Oryzias latipes: one gene and its partner. Each later gene encodes a partner of the first gene's protein in a complex. Links are inferred from orthologs where the notes say so. Each region holds a gene or a part of one and is shown on either strand. Other genes may lie near its edges.

Region 1 (7,678 bases):
AAGTTCTGACTGCACACAGCAGGAGCCTCTGTGGGTCTTACTTACCGCGTTACTGGAGTTTCTTTGGGCGTTGGCAGTTTGGTCTGTTTCCAGAGAGTCCAGGGGCTGTTCCGTTAGCGTGAGGACGTTAGGCGGCGCCTTCATGTTCAGGAGGTCTGCAGGGGGAACTGACTGGATCAGATCCAGGTCCCTGGGACGAGGAAACGTCAGGTCTCCATCGTCGCCTGCAGACAAAGTGGAAAAAGAAGGTCATGACCCCTGCTGAGCTCTACAGGCTAGCATGTTGCTCATTCAGCTGCTTCTCATACAGACCCACTGAAAATGTCAACATGTTCTTCTGGAATTTTTCTCATGATGGAGGAGACACATAAAGAACTTAAACCTACACTTCTGAGTACTTCTTTAATGAAATGGTTGTGAATCAGGAGCCCAAGATGAAAAAAAGCCGTTTGAAAAGGAGTTTATTTGTGGTGTGGAAAATACGCTGGGCGGGGCTATTAAGCTCCCAGCTCTGCTCCATTCTGATCATCCTCCTGCAGACCAATAGATCCATGGACGTCTTTGTTTTCCTGGTCTGAACAGGAATCTGGATCTAAACTGTACGGATGGATAGCTACGATGTTCCTGCCATTTGTGTTGCACTGGCACCATTAGTTTGGGGTTGTGAGGGGCTGTAAGCTTGTGGGAGAGACTGTTAACAAAGGGATGATGGGAAGTGAGGCCACGCCTATTCCCCACAAGCAGCCCCGCCCACAACTCAGAGGTGAATTTCGAATGAACTCCTGCCGCTCTGCAGAGACGGTCCTAGAAAGCAACACAGTTTTGGGATTTTTGCTAAAAACGACGTAATGATCAAGAAAAGACCACTAGGAACGTTTGAAAACTGATCAAAAGATGACCGGAGAGGCACTTTAATGACTTCCCAGGTGCGCTTCTCCTGCACAAAAAACTAACGACTCACCTGCAACAACAATTCTCTCAGGAACTTGCATCAAAGTGGAATGAGGCGGCGGCGGCTCCTGAGCTTGCATGCGCCCCGCGGAGCTCTCCGGGCCGACTTTGAGGGTTTCGGGTATCCGCATGCGCTGGCTGATGCCCTCCATGTATTCCAGGTCATAGTGGATGCGGCTTATTTCAGTCACCTCACCAGAGGACATGAAGGTCGGCCCACTCATCCGGCCTGCAAGCATCAAGGAAGAGCACTTGGTGACGTCACTGGAGCAAATAAACCCCCCCCTCATTATTGTGGTTCATTTCCGTCCCTCCCCTCACTTGTGTGTCTCCAGCCACAGGCAGCTTAGGAACTGATGCTGGGATGACGAGATGCTTAGAGCTAAAAGTAGTGGGAGAAAGAAGCAGCAAAGCTGATTTCACTCTTCAGAAAACAAGAAATATTTACTGTTTTTGAAGAAGCTAATTATACATTTTCATCAACAGTGAACCCTTTCTTTAAAAATATTTTGACCATAAGATAGGAAACATTGCTCATAATTTATCACCAAATGTTTGATTTAAAAAATTCGTTTGACAGCATAAAAGGCAGATTAAAACATCTAGATGTGTGATGTTTTCTGGCAATTCAATTTGTTTTCTTTCCTCTAAATAAAAGGAATTTATGTTGAAAAAAAATGTGTGGTTTATTCCATACATTTTAACTGTTACATATGTTTGGATAGTTCTACTTCAGCCAATAATGTCCGGATGTATTTTGTGCAAACTTGTACTTGTCTAGATCTAAAGAGCTCCGGAGGTTTTCCTAAATTCTGACCTGCTGATAACATTCCGTTACGTCTCTTTGAGGCTGATCTAAACCCATTTAAACCTACAGAGCCGCTCTGGCCAAGACACACCGAGCGGGTTCGTTTGATTTTCGTTTACATGGGTCCCGCTCATGCCAAACAAATCCTGATTATTATATCCGCTGTTGAATAAAGATCACCCAAGCGGGTCTAACCTGATGCAGGAGCAGCAAAAAACCCGAAGCGTGCGTGCTCGGACCGAAACGCGGCGCGGGCTAACTGCAGCTGAAGGTGCGTTTGTTAGCGGACACCGGCGGAACCAGGTTACAGGTTATTACGTAAGACAGCCGAGGCTGCTGTCACCGGCACGCGCCTCCAATGTCACTAAAACAAACGGAGAAAAGGCGCCATTTTGAGGTTTAAGCTAACACCCCGCTAATTAATAATAATTAAAAAAAGAACGGTCTGTCTGTGAGGCGCCGGTGGGGCGGTGTTACGTAATCACCGTGAGTTAGCTGGGTATAAACCGGCCTGGCCTCAGCCTGACACGCGTTGAAAGCTTACCGTCCCGGGTTTTAGCACCGCTGCCTCCGGCGCTGCTCCAAACGCTCCGCTCCAGCTACAGCAAACAACCGAAAAAGCCGCAAACGCCGCGAGAGTCGGTGTTGCTGCCAAACGATGTTCGAGTTTGACAACAGGGGCGGAGCTTAACAATCATTGCACGAGAGGCTCCGCAAGCAGGCCGGTCGGTTAAGCAAAACGACCGTACACAAGTTACCCGACATTTATGTAAGAGCTGCACGCGCGCGCTCACCCAGAAACTCCTCTCATCGTTTGATTTGCATGGCGGGTCTTTTTTTCCGCAGTCTTAACTTCCTTTAATGCATGTCGCTTTTTATTAGTCAGTGTTGATTTTTTTTATTTATGATTTGCATTGTTCTGCGTAAATGTATGCCAGAGGAACTGCTGAGGGAAATCCTGAGTTCATGACCGTCTCTCAATTTTGTCTAACTCTCCTTGTCCGCATAACTGCTCCAGCAACACGTTTGCGTCACAGTTTCTGCAACATCCCACTTTTTTATTACAATTTAGATGCTTTTTAATCGGTGCTGTTTTAATAACCGCGAGCTGCACTTTAAAAAGACCTTTATTTTTTAAATAATCTAGCATTGAAACTTAACAGTTTAACAGGAACAAACATGAATTTTTATTAATAATCACTCAACAAAACAAATCTCTTGTGTAAATTGCTGTGTGACAGGGACGCAAAATAAACTACATGTCCCATCATCCTGGCTACTTCCTGATCACTGCGCATGTGCAATCGCTGTGGGCCGTTATTGTGTCCTCCTCAAGCTTCAAATGAACAACAGGCTAAGCCCTCCTAAAAATAAATTAAATATTTATTCCGACGGAGCGGGTTCTTTTCGCCCGGCGTGTCTCGGCGGACATTCATGGAGCGTCTCGGTCTGTAGCTCGTCGTTTCGCCGGGCGGGGTGGTCCTCCGGTGAACTCGAAGGCCAAAAACGGTTTTCGGAGTGACAGCCCCGTTCGAGGCAGCAGGCTGGCTGTTCGTGTAGCTGCTTAGCCTCCTAGCTAGTTTCCCAGACAGCTGCGAGCTGAGGGGTAAAAGCTCGAAGGCCGTCTGAGTGTTGGCAGGGCAGAAGAGCCGGAGCTGGCGCTCTGCCCCCGCGACCGGCAGAACCATGGCACACCTTCGGGACATGCAGAACCAGGTAGGGAGAACCTATCACCTCACTTCCCTTCCTGTCCTAGACCCGAACCCCTCACAGTTGGGCTTTTCAGGAAAACCATGTAGCTCTGGCTCTGCGATCATAAATCACCTGTAATCGTGTTCTAACAGGTGATACAAGTGTAAAGTTCTCAAGTCCATGTTTTTTATAAATCAGTTTTTTATGCGGGATGACATCCCGGTTTGAATGCAGGTGTGTTGTGTAAACGGGCTGTTCCGTCCACCTGTGCACAGACTGTACAGTTCTCCTTCACGTCCGCATGGACTCTTTTTACCTGGACAGCACCTGTTGCCTTTAGCTTTGCAGTAAAGCCTCTTCCTGGAAACCGGAAGTGTCGTCACGCAGATGCAGGTTACTGATCTCATCTCACCTCGTTGATGATGAAGCAGCATGCAGCCCATTAAACGTTTTTACTGGAATAGATCATATAGATCATCCTAGTTGGTTGAACCCATTGTTTTCCTGTTTCACTTTCTTTATTCTAGTATCTTCCACCAGCTTTTGGTGCTTAACCCCAACACATTTTCAGCTATTTTAACCATTCAACTATTCAAATGTTCAGCTTTATCCACCTATCACTTTGGTCCTTAAAATCCTTGAACCTTTCAAGATATTCCAGGATTTCCAGGATCTTCCATTGAAATTCATGGGGAATCCTTGGTGCAGAAGCTCGCTGGTTCGATACCGGCTCTGGCATTTTTTTGAAAAATATATCTTTTGTTATTGTGCTGTTTTTACTTTATTTATGGTCAACTTTGATTATTTCTTTATTTCTTTTGCCAATTATTACCCTTTAATTTTCCTTTTCATTCAGTAATATAGACTCAAGCCTGCGTTTTCTTCTGGAAATGCAGCTCCTTTAGTTATTGGATGAGGCTCCCTGCTACACGCCGTCTCCCCATAAACGCTGCTCTACAGAGACGTCGACCTTGCTTTAAAAAGTTTGTGCATTCACGAGTTGTTGGAAGGTTTGCGGTTTTTCTGACGTCGATGCGTGTTTTTTTCTAAGTCGGACGGGCATTTTTCCGACCATCCCAACACTACATGAACGCAGCATTTCTCTGAGTTTGTCCCTGGGGGGCATCAACCCACTCGTGGAATTAGCATAAAATAAAATAAAAAGTCGCAGTTTTCAAATAAAAACCCCCAAGATATCATGGTTTAAAATATATACATTATTTTTGAATCCTAATTATAGCATGTTTTTGTCCAAATTCCATATTATTTCTCTTGTCTCATGGGGTGGATTACCTTATCCCCGCACTGATCTGCTCCTGGTCCGGCCTTCTGTTTGCTCACCCCTGGTGTAACGTGTGACCTGCGTGTTTTTATAAATACTTTGGGTTCTTTTCCGTGTTCTTGTCCAATTCTCGGTGCTGTCGCAGCAGTTGGCAGTGCTGAGGATCACACGCCTGAAAGCTGGTGTTGGAAAAGAAACGAAATGAACCGTGACGGAGGGAGCAGTGTTGTGTTGCAGGCAGCGTTTCTGTGTCTGCATGCTTGTTTGAAAGGAAGTGCTAACAGCCAGCGGTGCTGCTTCTGTCCACCCTCCACCAGAACACCCACCTGGACCCGGAGGAGTACTTCACCAAGCAGGAGCGCATCGGGAAGGGCTCCTTTGGAGAGGTCTACAAGGGCATCAACAACCGCACTAAGGAGGTGGTGGCCATCAAGATCATTGACCTGGAGGAGGCAGAGGATGAGATAGAGGACATCCAACAAGAGATCACAGTGCTGAGCCAGTGTGACAGTCCTTATGTTACCAAATACTACGGGTCCTACCTCAAGGTGAGAGAAAAGCTGCAACTGCCTGCTGTTTACCTGCAAGCAAGGCTTTTATTTCCCACAGTTGAACTACTGTGTATATCCCCCCCCCCCCCCCACCCCACCCCACCCCCCAGGGGACCAAGCTGTGGATTATCATGGAGTATTTAGGTGGAGGATCTGCTCTGGATCTGGTAAGAAGATTTCCATTTTTATGGAGATTACAAATTACACAAGACGCCGCCTTGCTTACTTTTAGAGCCTGCCGGTTCTCTCGCCCTACTTCTGATGTCTTGGTTTACCCGCCGTCATCGTAGCTCCGCCCAGGACCTCTGGAGGAGACGTACATCGCTACCATACTGCGGGAAATCCTGAAGGGGCTGGAGTATCTGCACTCCGAGAGGAAGATTCACAGAGACATCAAAGGTAAAACGGAAGACCACTTAGAGAATCTTCACCCAGGAAACTTGTCAGGAGGGGAAATGGACTCACCCAATGTGTGTGCTGGTTCTGGATTTGTAACCCATCCATTTTGTCTTTAACTGAGGGTACTTGCTGTTGTAAACGAATATCAAAAACGTTCAAATCCAAAATACAGTTTACGCAGGCACAGCTTGAAATGACATCAACTTCAGACTAAGTACAAATTCAAAAAGTCTCCCAAACATAAAAAAACCCTTAAATGGTACGCTCCAATCGCTTGATACACACACTCAAAACCACACCTACACACAGATCAGAGTCACAAGAACACCAGGATGGATGGATGGATGGATGGATCTTTATTTGTCAAAGTCATACATACAATGAAATTAAAAGTGCCTTCTGGTCAGTGCAACATTCATCCATTAAAAAAAAATGTAAACAACTTACTACTAAAATAATACATAAAACTACATAAAAACCTCTGGCACCACCCCCTCTGACACCGCCCCCTCTGACAGCTCCGCCCTCTGGCACCGCCCCCTCTCGCTGTGCCAGAATGATTGAAAGTTTGAGGGGGAAAAATGGAAGATTTGAAACTCGAATAAAAAAACTTTTAATTATTACCAAATGAAAAATATTCTTTATAAAGTTTGTAGTTCCAGTTTAGAGCTGAAAGCACCAGAAGCGCTTTCAGCTGATGGGAATCATGTCACGACAGCCAATGAGCTTCCTTAACTCAGGTTCAGCAGAAAAGACTGAACGTCTGAATTCAAACTCTAAACGTAAAACGGAAATTAAAGAATAAAAAAAGAAAACAAAAACAACAGCAGCTGTTATGAATAAACAATATTTTTCATTTAGTAACAGTTTAAGCTTTAAAGTTTTGTTTTTTAAATTGAAGGTTCAAAATTAAAAAAAAACATTTCTTTTCAAATGTTCAATATTTTTAGACTTGAATCATGCTTAAGCCTGTTTTGAAGTGTTGACTTTTTGTCTTCCAATTGATGTGACCCTCTAGTTGTGCCTCTTTAGCCGTCCTGACCCGAGGCTGCAGGTCTTTCTAGCTAGTTAGTGGACACGGCAGTGACTGACGTCTGTCTCCTAGCTGCCAACGTGCTCCTGTCAGAGCAAGGCGACGTGAAGCTGGCAGACTTCGGCGTGGCGGGACAGCTGACGGACACGCAGATCAAGAGGAACACGTTTGTGGGCACGCCGTTCTGGATGGCTCCAGAGGTCATCAAGCAGTCGGCCTACGACTTTAAGGTGAGGGAAGTCTGTTCCAGAGCTGAAGAGCGTCTGTGGTGCTGACCTGTCTGGGAGGGGGCGCAGGAATGCTGAGCTTTTGAAACAGCCATTGAATTCATTTCTGTTTGGAAAAGCTTCATTTGGTTCACCTTTCCTTACACTCAGGCGGACATCTGGTCTCTGGGAATCACTGCCATCGAGTTGGCCAAGGGGGAACCCCCCAACTCTGACCTACATCCCATGAGGGTCCTGTTCCTCATCCCTAAAAACACTCCTCCCACGTTGGAAGGGCCGTACAGCAAACCGTTTAAAGAGTTTGTGGAGGCCTGTTTAAACAAGGATCCCCGTTTTGTGAGTGAAGCTGCATTTTCACCTCCAACCTTCTGTCATGTGATGGCGCTCTAGTGAAACCTTGTTTGTTGTTTTAAACCATCAGCAGAAAAAACGGATCATTTATGTATGAATCCAAGTCATGTAGGAGGAAAAGAGAGACATTTGGTAAATGAGGGAGAATGGCCTTCAAGTGTGCATAATCTGAATTTAACGCACGCCGAGGAAGTCTGGACAGTAAAGTGTGTCGCTTATACCTTGGTCACTTTCAAAAGAAATAAATATTCAACCAGTTTTTAGTCCTTTAATCTTGTTATTTTTTCAGTCTAGATCACTTTTTTTCACAAAAAGCGGACTATTTGTTAGGTGGTGCGGCGGGTCGTCATGGTAACATGACGGCACCAACCTCGACTGCAGCCG
Region 2 (7,183 bases), on another chromosome or scaffold:
CTTCTCAAGGTTTTCCAGTGATTCTGAGATGCGACCTTTCTTTCCAGGTACCTGCAGGAGGTGGGATACACAGACACCATTTTAGATGTAAAATCCCAAAGAGTTCGGGCTCTGCTGGGACTTGCCGGAGATGGAGGAGGCAGGATGGAAACTGAGCCTTTGGTGAACGGGACGGACACGACAACAAAGGGCATAGGCACCAAGGGGTGAGTACAGTCCATTTGAAGACCCACTCTGATGTAAATGGCGTTTTAACATGTTCTTGTTGCAAATTTCTGATGACGGAGGGCATAGTTAAAGAAAATTTAGCTTAAAATTGCGTTTCTAAATATTTCTTTAACCAAATTGTCGTGCAGCAGAAGCTGATCGTAGAAAATACACTGGGCGGGGCCACAAGCTTCCTGCTCCGCCCATTTCTGATCATCCACCTGCAGACTCATCTGAGCTGGAATCTGGATCTAAACTGTGAAAATGCGTCTACTTCTGCTAAAGCCTTTTACGGTCTCCAGATTTAAAAAACAATAATAGCCTCTTAAAATGTTTATATTAATGAAAAAGAAATGTTAAAGCTCGAATTCTGCAAAGGACTACAAATGTTTTCTTCTTCTTCTGTTTATTTTGTCAGGAGTTACAGCGCCACTTACTGACACTGGATTAACACGTTATTAACGGCTAAAGCGGCTGCAGCAGTCTTTTCTTCTACAAATAACAAACAAAAACCATCAAACAGAGAGAGACTCCACGCCATGCGGCGGTCATTGTATCACGCATCATTGCGATTTTCATCGTTTCCAATGACAACAATAAATGATTATACAGTGTTGCATTTAGGGGACGTTCTTTAATGTTTCAGAGGTGTAATTCAGTTTAAGGAAGCTCTCCGTTGTTTCCAATACCTGCAGTCACGTGTTTTTTATGCAACAGGATTCAACATTTTTCGTGAAAAGATGGTTAAAAATGTACAAACTTATCGTAGTTCAATCAAGACAGCTTTTCTTTTTTGTATTTTCTGCTGGTTGAAATGTTTTTAAAAAGTTTCTAATGGCCATTTGCTGAACCTCCCAGTGATATTTTTGTTCTTCAAATTGGGAATCCTCGTCAGAAAAAATAAAAACTAGCATCTATCTAAAGCTCGATATGGCGAGTCTATGATGGTGGTTTAAATGAAACGATCTGTGGCTCCTTTGCAGGAAATCTGAGCTGTCTGACCCCAGCGCCGTGCTGGAAGTCTTCAATTTTATTGAGAATGCAGAGGATTTGAGCGATGAAGATGAGGAAGAGGACAGCGAGGGAAAGGGAGTTACCAACGTAGAATCCAGGACGGTGAGGAAGCCACTTTCATCTTTGCATCACGCAGTGGGAGTGCTGTTAGAGAACAGGCTGTGTTGCCTCTAGATCATGAGGAAAAAGCCTCCTCCCTCATCGACCAACATGGACACCAGTGAGGACCCCGACACCAACGCCGTGCTGAAGGTCTTCGACTTCCTGTCCAGACCCGATGAGATTGACACTTCTGAGTCCAGAGGCACCGGCGATGGGACGGACTGGGGTGAGTCACAGACTGACCACGAACACAAACTGATAAATCCAAACCCCTTCAGCGAGAAAAGGATTCATTCCAACTCCGGCCGCTGATCTTTTAAATTTGGGAAGTTTTGACTCATAGTTTGTTGACTGCTGGTGAGGTTCCGTCATTCATGTGTCATTCTGTGCTCATAAGTCATGATGTGTCTGTTTAACACGCAGTTTGTGTTCTCTTCCACTGTATGTTCACAAGTCCAGCCTGTGACACCAACATGTTTCCACTCGTCTGTCGTCAGATCGCCCAGATCCCCTCTGAGCTTCGCTGGTCTTTAGCTGGAGTCAAAACAATCAGCTTGATGTCATGCTGGGTTTAATCTTTGACTTTAGCCACAAAAGACAATTTTATCTCAAAAGCTGAAGTCAGACATTCCCCACCATGACACAAACCTCTCTCAAATCCACCTCCTTCTTTCTGCCAGCAGAAAGAAAACACAGAGGAGGGTCAGGAGAGGCCCGTAGCTCCGCCCTCCTCGTTTATGAAATTGATTTGAATCTGAAAGTCTCAGAGCGTTTGCAGCTCTCTGTCTGCAAGGACCAGGGCAGTTTCTCAACAGCCTGTCGGTCTGGTTTTGTCCCCTTGTGTAGAGAAGAACGAGCAAGGCTCCATTTCTGAGGCCTGGGACGTGGCCCCGGGCCTGATAACCCAGCTCAAGGAACAGTACAAAAAGGATCGCAAGGGGAAAAAGGGGGTTAAGAGTAAGTCCTGCTAGGTATTGCTGCCTCCCTGCTTCTTCTCATTCTGCAGAGCCTAAAGCCTTAGTCACAACTGAACCTGCGGGTGGAGACGGGCTTCCTGCGGGCGAAAAATGGTCAAACCTGTACGGGTGGCACCCGTCAATACCTGCTGCAGTCTGGCCGTTAGACAGGAGGAAAATGGACAGAGTGTAGTTTGTGTGGACATCCCATGAACACTTCTGTATCACCCAGTGTGTGCAGCACTTATGCACAATTAGTAAGGAGACTGTACTGGCACCTTGAATGTGCCGTGACGACACTGTAGGACAGCATCACCTGTAGGTTGTAAGTGTGTGTAACTTACATTATTGCCACACATACACACGACAATGGTACGTCCCGTTTTAATGATGCCCCTTGAGGTCCTTGTACGAGCCTCAAGGAAGCTGCAAGATAAAGAAAATTCTACAAAAACTTTGCATTTCTGAGTATTTCTTTAATCAAATCGTTGTGGAAAAAAAAAGCTGTTTGGAAAAGATTTTTGACGGAAAATTTGCTCGCCGGGCCACAAGCTCCCTGCTCTGCTCCATTCTCAGGCGAAGGGTCTATAGATGCATTCGTTTGGGTTGCTCCACGCCAACTTTCCCGCCCACAACTCTGAAACTCTGTCCTAAATATCGACACGGGTTTCTTTTCTTTTTTCATTTTGGCTAAAAACGGTAAAATCCTGATCAAAAGAGCACTGGGAACACTCTGAAACCCGAAAGCCGAAAGCCTCACAGCACCCGTACAGGTCAAGCCCCCCAGTGTGACTAAGGCTTTACTTTCCTGAGAAACCAGCCTCAAATCCAAATTGGAGCATCTTCACTGTTTTCTCTGAGTTTCTTCTGTCGCCGCTCCTCGTTCTGCTTCTCTGTCCTCTTCACATCTCATTCTTCAGACCTCTCCGGTGCCTTCAAAACCTGCATCTGTGCTCAGGATTTCTTTTGCCCTTTGGTTGACCCTGGTGCATGCCTCATTTCAGTCTTTCATCGCCTTATTCTCATCTTCACGTCATCGTGCTAACCGTGAAAGATCAGACCGCCGTGCCACAGTAGCTCTGTGATTGCCGCCGTGGTCCTCATCGGTCGGCTCGGCTCGCGTGGAGAAGTCGTGTAGCCGCTGATGTTCTGCCGCTCGATAGCAAAATCAGAGCTTTTCCTGTGACCCGCATGGATGACTCATTCAGCAGCCCACAGATTTCACATTTCTGACACCCAGTCTCCGCTCTCCTTCTGCAGCGACTGCTCGTGACATCAACACTCACTTTCTCACCTTCCTTCTACGCTGTTTACACAGCCCCCCCCCCCCAAGAGTGTGTGGTTTTTTTTTTTGTGGGTGTTCGGACGACACCATGTAGAGTTTCTGTTCCTGCGATTTTTGTCTGTTGCAGCTCCTCATAATCCATTTCTGCGCCGTGTTCATACCAGCCGTTAACTGCTGTTATTTATTGCTAAAACTGTTGTTAGATTTAAAAAAAAAATAAGCTGGAATTTACAGTTTTGTGTTGCCAATTGCACCTTTGTTTGTTGAGCATCACAAGGAAACTTTCCTAGGTCTCTGCTGGTTGCTTAGCAACAGCTCTGAGCCGGAGGAAAGTGTGTCAAAAGGACAGACTGAGCGGATCGTAGTTTTTGTCTCACGCACTTCTGAAAGGATGGCAGTTAAAACGTACAGATTCAGGTTTAGACTACAGTGATTCTCCACACCAGCGGCTTTAAAGGCAAATGTACCTTTTGAGTAGGTTTCACTGCTTTTCTTCAAACTTTATCTATTTTTCTTTCTTCCCAGTCCTTCCATCTTTTCATCTTTTTTTCTCTCAGCTTGTTTGCACTCTTTTTCTCTCGTCTCCGTTCTCCATCAGTATGTGTTGGTTCTGTTAACCGGTGTAACCCCACCTGTGAACAGGACCCAACCGATCCAAGCTGCAGGACATGCTGGCCAACCTGAGGGACGGCGAGGACATGCCTCACATGCAGCCTCCGTCCGCCCCGCAGCCCCGACCCAGCGTGCCCCGCTTTAACGAACACGAGGGAAACCGGCCGGATGAAGGTGCCTCAGAAAGACCGCCGCCCCCTTTCTGTTTGAACTTTGGTTATAATCAGGTTTCCTCTCCGCAGTGGAGACCCTTGCTTTCCCGCCCACCTCAGGGACGTTTATTATGGGCGCAGACGAAGCTATGAAGAGCGACCTGGGACTCGGGGAGCTGGCCAGCATCACCGTGGCCAACGAGGTCGAGAGTCTGGCATACGATGTGAGTGAACTGTTCCGGTTTTTCCGGCCCGAATCGTTCACAAGTCTGCGTTTAGCGGGTCAACCAGACAACGGAAAATAGCATCTCTTCAGCCATTTTACCCCTATGAAAGTAACAGTCCACCTGGACCTTTTCTTCTTTATTCATCACATAATATTTTAAATTGTTTTTCAAAATAATTTCATCCCTGACACTATTAGATAAATTGTTACAGATCTAAAATGTTCTAGATCTGTAACCTGAGGCTCTGGAGCCACAAGCAGCTCCTTTATTACTCTATCCTGGCAATATAAAAAATTATAGTTTTAGTTTGTTTGTTTTTGCTAACTTTGTTTTATCATTTATGTACACATTTATGACATCACTGAGAGAAGTGATGGTAAAAAGTTCAGTCTGCTGTCAGAGTGGTTTAAGATTCAACATGTTCTTTTCTTCTGCTGCACAACAGAGTCTAGAGAAGTTCTTAAAGATTCTCTAAAAAATAAATTAAAAAAAGCTGTATTCTACACTGATCTCATCACATTTATATTTGATAGTAAGAGGAGAAAAAGGATGACAGTGATTCGCCAAACTCTCTTGCCTTTGTTTAAACCAAAACTGCTGCAGCAAAAGGATCCTATTTGGCACACAGGATGTGTTTTATTTTGAAAGGATGGTGTATATGCCGGTGTCAAAATAAAAAAGGGAATGAATAAATAAAGTTAAAATAAGTTAAAATTCTCAAATTTGAATGGTGTAAAATAACTCTAAACCCCCCCCAAATGAACTGATTTCATAGATGAAGTGATCCGAAGGTTTTGAGTTGAGGCCCTGATAAAACACTGAGTAGTTAGGAATATGTTTATTTCTGTTTATTTGATTCTATTAAAGGCATTTTGATAAGAATGACGGTATCAGACTGTGGAACAAGTGAACAAAACCATGAAGCTCAGAGACGCTAGTCTGTCTGGCGTTTGGCGGCTGTTTGCACTACATCTCCCATGATGCATTGAGTTAAAGTGACAGTGTCTCAGCGCACAATGAGCCTTTCTTTGTTAAACGTCTTGAAACCACAACGAACACATATAAAACTGTTTTTAAATCTTCTAAATTAACTTTTATTACATCTTTTAGAAAAAACAGCTGCAGCTTCCAGCTTTTTCTGCCACAATTGTCACAAAAATGCATGTGAGATCATGGAGGGGCTGTAAATCAATACAGACTGAGTTTTTCCTTTTTTTTTTCTTTTTTCTTTTTTTTTTTGGATGCCGCTAGGTTTTTGTCAAGGATAAAGTGTGCCGTGGCTCAAAAAAGGTTGAAACACTGGTCTAGATGAACCCGCACAAGTAGTTTTGTTTGTGTAATTGATTTTATTTTTGTTCTGCAGCTTCATGAAGTGCAAATATAAAATACATTAACAGCGGTTAAACTCTCATTTTCTGTTGGTGACGGTGTCAGAGTCCTCTTGCTTTTCGTTTTTGTTTTTTTAGTTATAAACATTTGAAAACACAGAGTGGAAGGAAAAATCTGTTTGTTGTCTGACCTGGATGCTGAGCGTCTCCGCTTTGTTTCTCAGATTGGCAACAATAAGGACGCGATGAGGAAGACGTGGAACCCCAAGTTCACCCTGCGGAGTCATTTCGACGGGATCCGGGCGCTGACGTTCCACCCCGTGGAACCCGTCCTCGTCACGGCTTCGGAGGACCACACGCTCAAGATGTGGAACCTGCAGAAGACGGCTCCCGCCAAGAAGTAATGTGTTCCTGCTTGAACGACTGAAAGGAGCATCTCTGCTTTCGTTTGCCGAGCTTTGGTTTAAAAATCTGTGTTTTCCACCTTCGTGCGTGGAAAGCTCTGCCCACGTGAGTGCTGCTGTTTTCTGTCATAGTAATGAATGCTCTGTCTGCAGGAGCACATCTCTGGACGTGGAACCCGTCTACACCTTCAGGGCACACAGGTAAAAAGCTCATTTTAGTATCCAAGTTCTGAATGTAACAAAGAAAAAACAGCAAACAACAGATTAACTACATTTGAGATCATCTAAGTCATTCCAGACCCCCCCCCCCCCCCCCCCCCCCAAAAGGTCAACTATCTAAGCTGTATTTAGATTATAGAATCAATTAACTGTACAAAGTGTGAACGTGGAAAACGGCGGTTTGAGAAACAAAAAGACTAGAACATCTGCTGTAAGATGAGCAGGAACTGCAGCCAAACAGGGCGGAGCTGCGGTTACAAAAAATGAGGATTGTCATCATCACGTTTAAAAAAAAAAAAGGTATCAGAGCCAGAATGACTGAGGAACAGGTGTTTGTTTCCCTATAGACGTCGTTGGCTACTTGGATCCAGCGGGTACTTCCTGTTTGGAATGTCAGGGGGGGCGGAGCCACTCAGTCCGGTTCTCTTATACAGTGAATGGTCATTGTGCAGACGCATTGAGAGAGCTAGCAGCTGGTTGTTGCTCAGCTTGGGCCTGTGGCGTGTTGATGATGGGGTCACTGGGTGGAGTCCAAACCGACGGGAAGGAGAATCTGATCGTTCTCCTCCTGAAATGTATGATATTTTTCTTATTTGTATGGAGACAAAAGGCCTGGGCTGCTTTGAAAAAACAACAAAAAAACAATAACTCGGTCTGAATTGATCCAAGCTTAGAAG

The links.
Region 2: stk25 (region 1) and strn share a complex: the UniProt entries of both Homo sapiens proteins name them as parts of the core of STRIPAK complex. The link is inferred for Oryzias latipes from reciprocal best matches to the Homo sapiens genes STK25 and STRN.

Annotation. Positions count from the first base shown.
Region 1 is NC_019875.2:5,712,665-5,720,342, forward strand, and holds the start of stk25 (serine/threonine-protein kinase 25), read left to right. Parts: upstream 1-2,584; 5' UTR 2,585-3,445; coding exon 3,446-3,475; intron 3,476-5,050; coding exon 5,051-5,281; intron 5,282-5,394; coding exon 5,395-5,451; intron 5,452-5,574; coding exon 5,575-5,683; intron 5,684-6,788; coding exon 6,789-6,946; intron 6,947-7,093; coding exon 7,094-7,279; intron 7,280-7,678. Other genes in the region: mitochondrial fission factor homolog A, read right to left, coding at 46-224, 962-1,175. UniProt on the Homo sapiens protein: Oxidant stress-activated serine/threonine kinase that may play a role in the response to environmental stress.
Region 2 is NC_019873.2:28,014,243-28,021,425, reverse strand, and holds part of strn (striatin), read left to right. Parts: intron 1-47; coding exon 48-206; intron 207-1,190; coding exon 1,191-1,323; intron 1,324-1,395; coding exon 1,396-1,549; intron 1,550-2,169; coding exon 2,170-2,280; intron 2,281-4,206; coding exon 4,207-4,350; intron 4,351-4,418; coding exon 4,419-4,552; intron 4,553-6,107; coding exon 6,108-6,283; intron 6,284-6,440; coding exon 6,441-6,488; intron 6,489-7,183. UniProt on the Homo sapiens protein: Calmodulin-binding scaffolding protein which is the center of the striatin-interacting phosphatase and kinase (STRIPAK) complexes.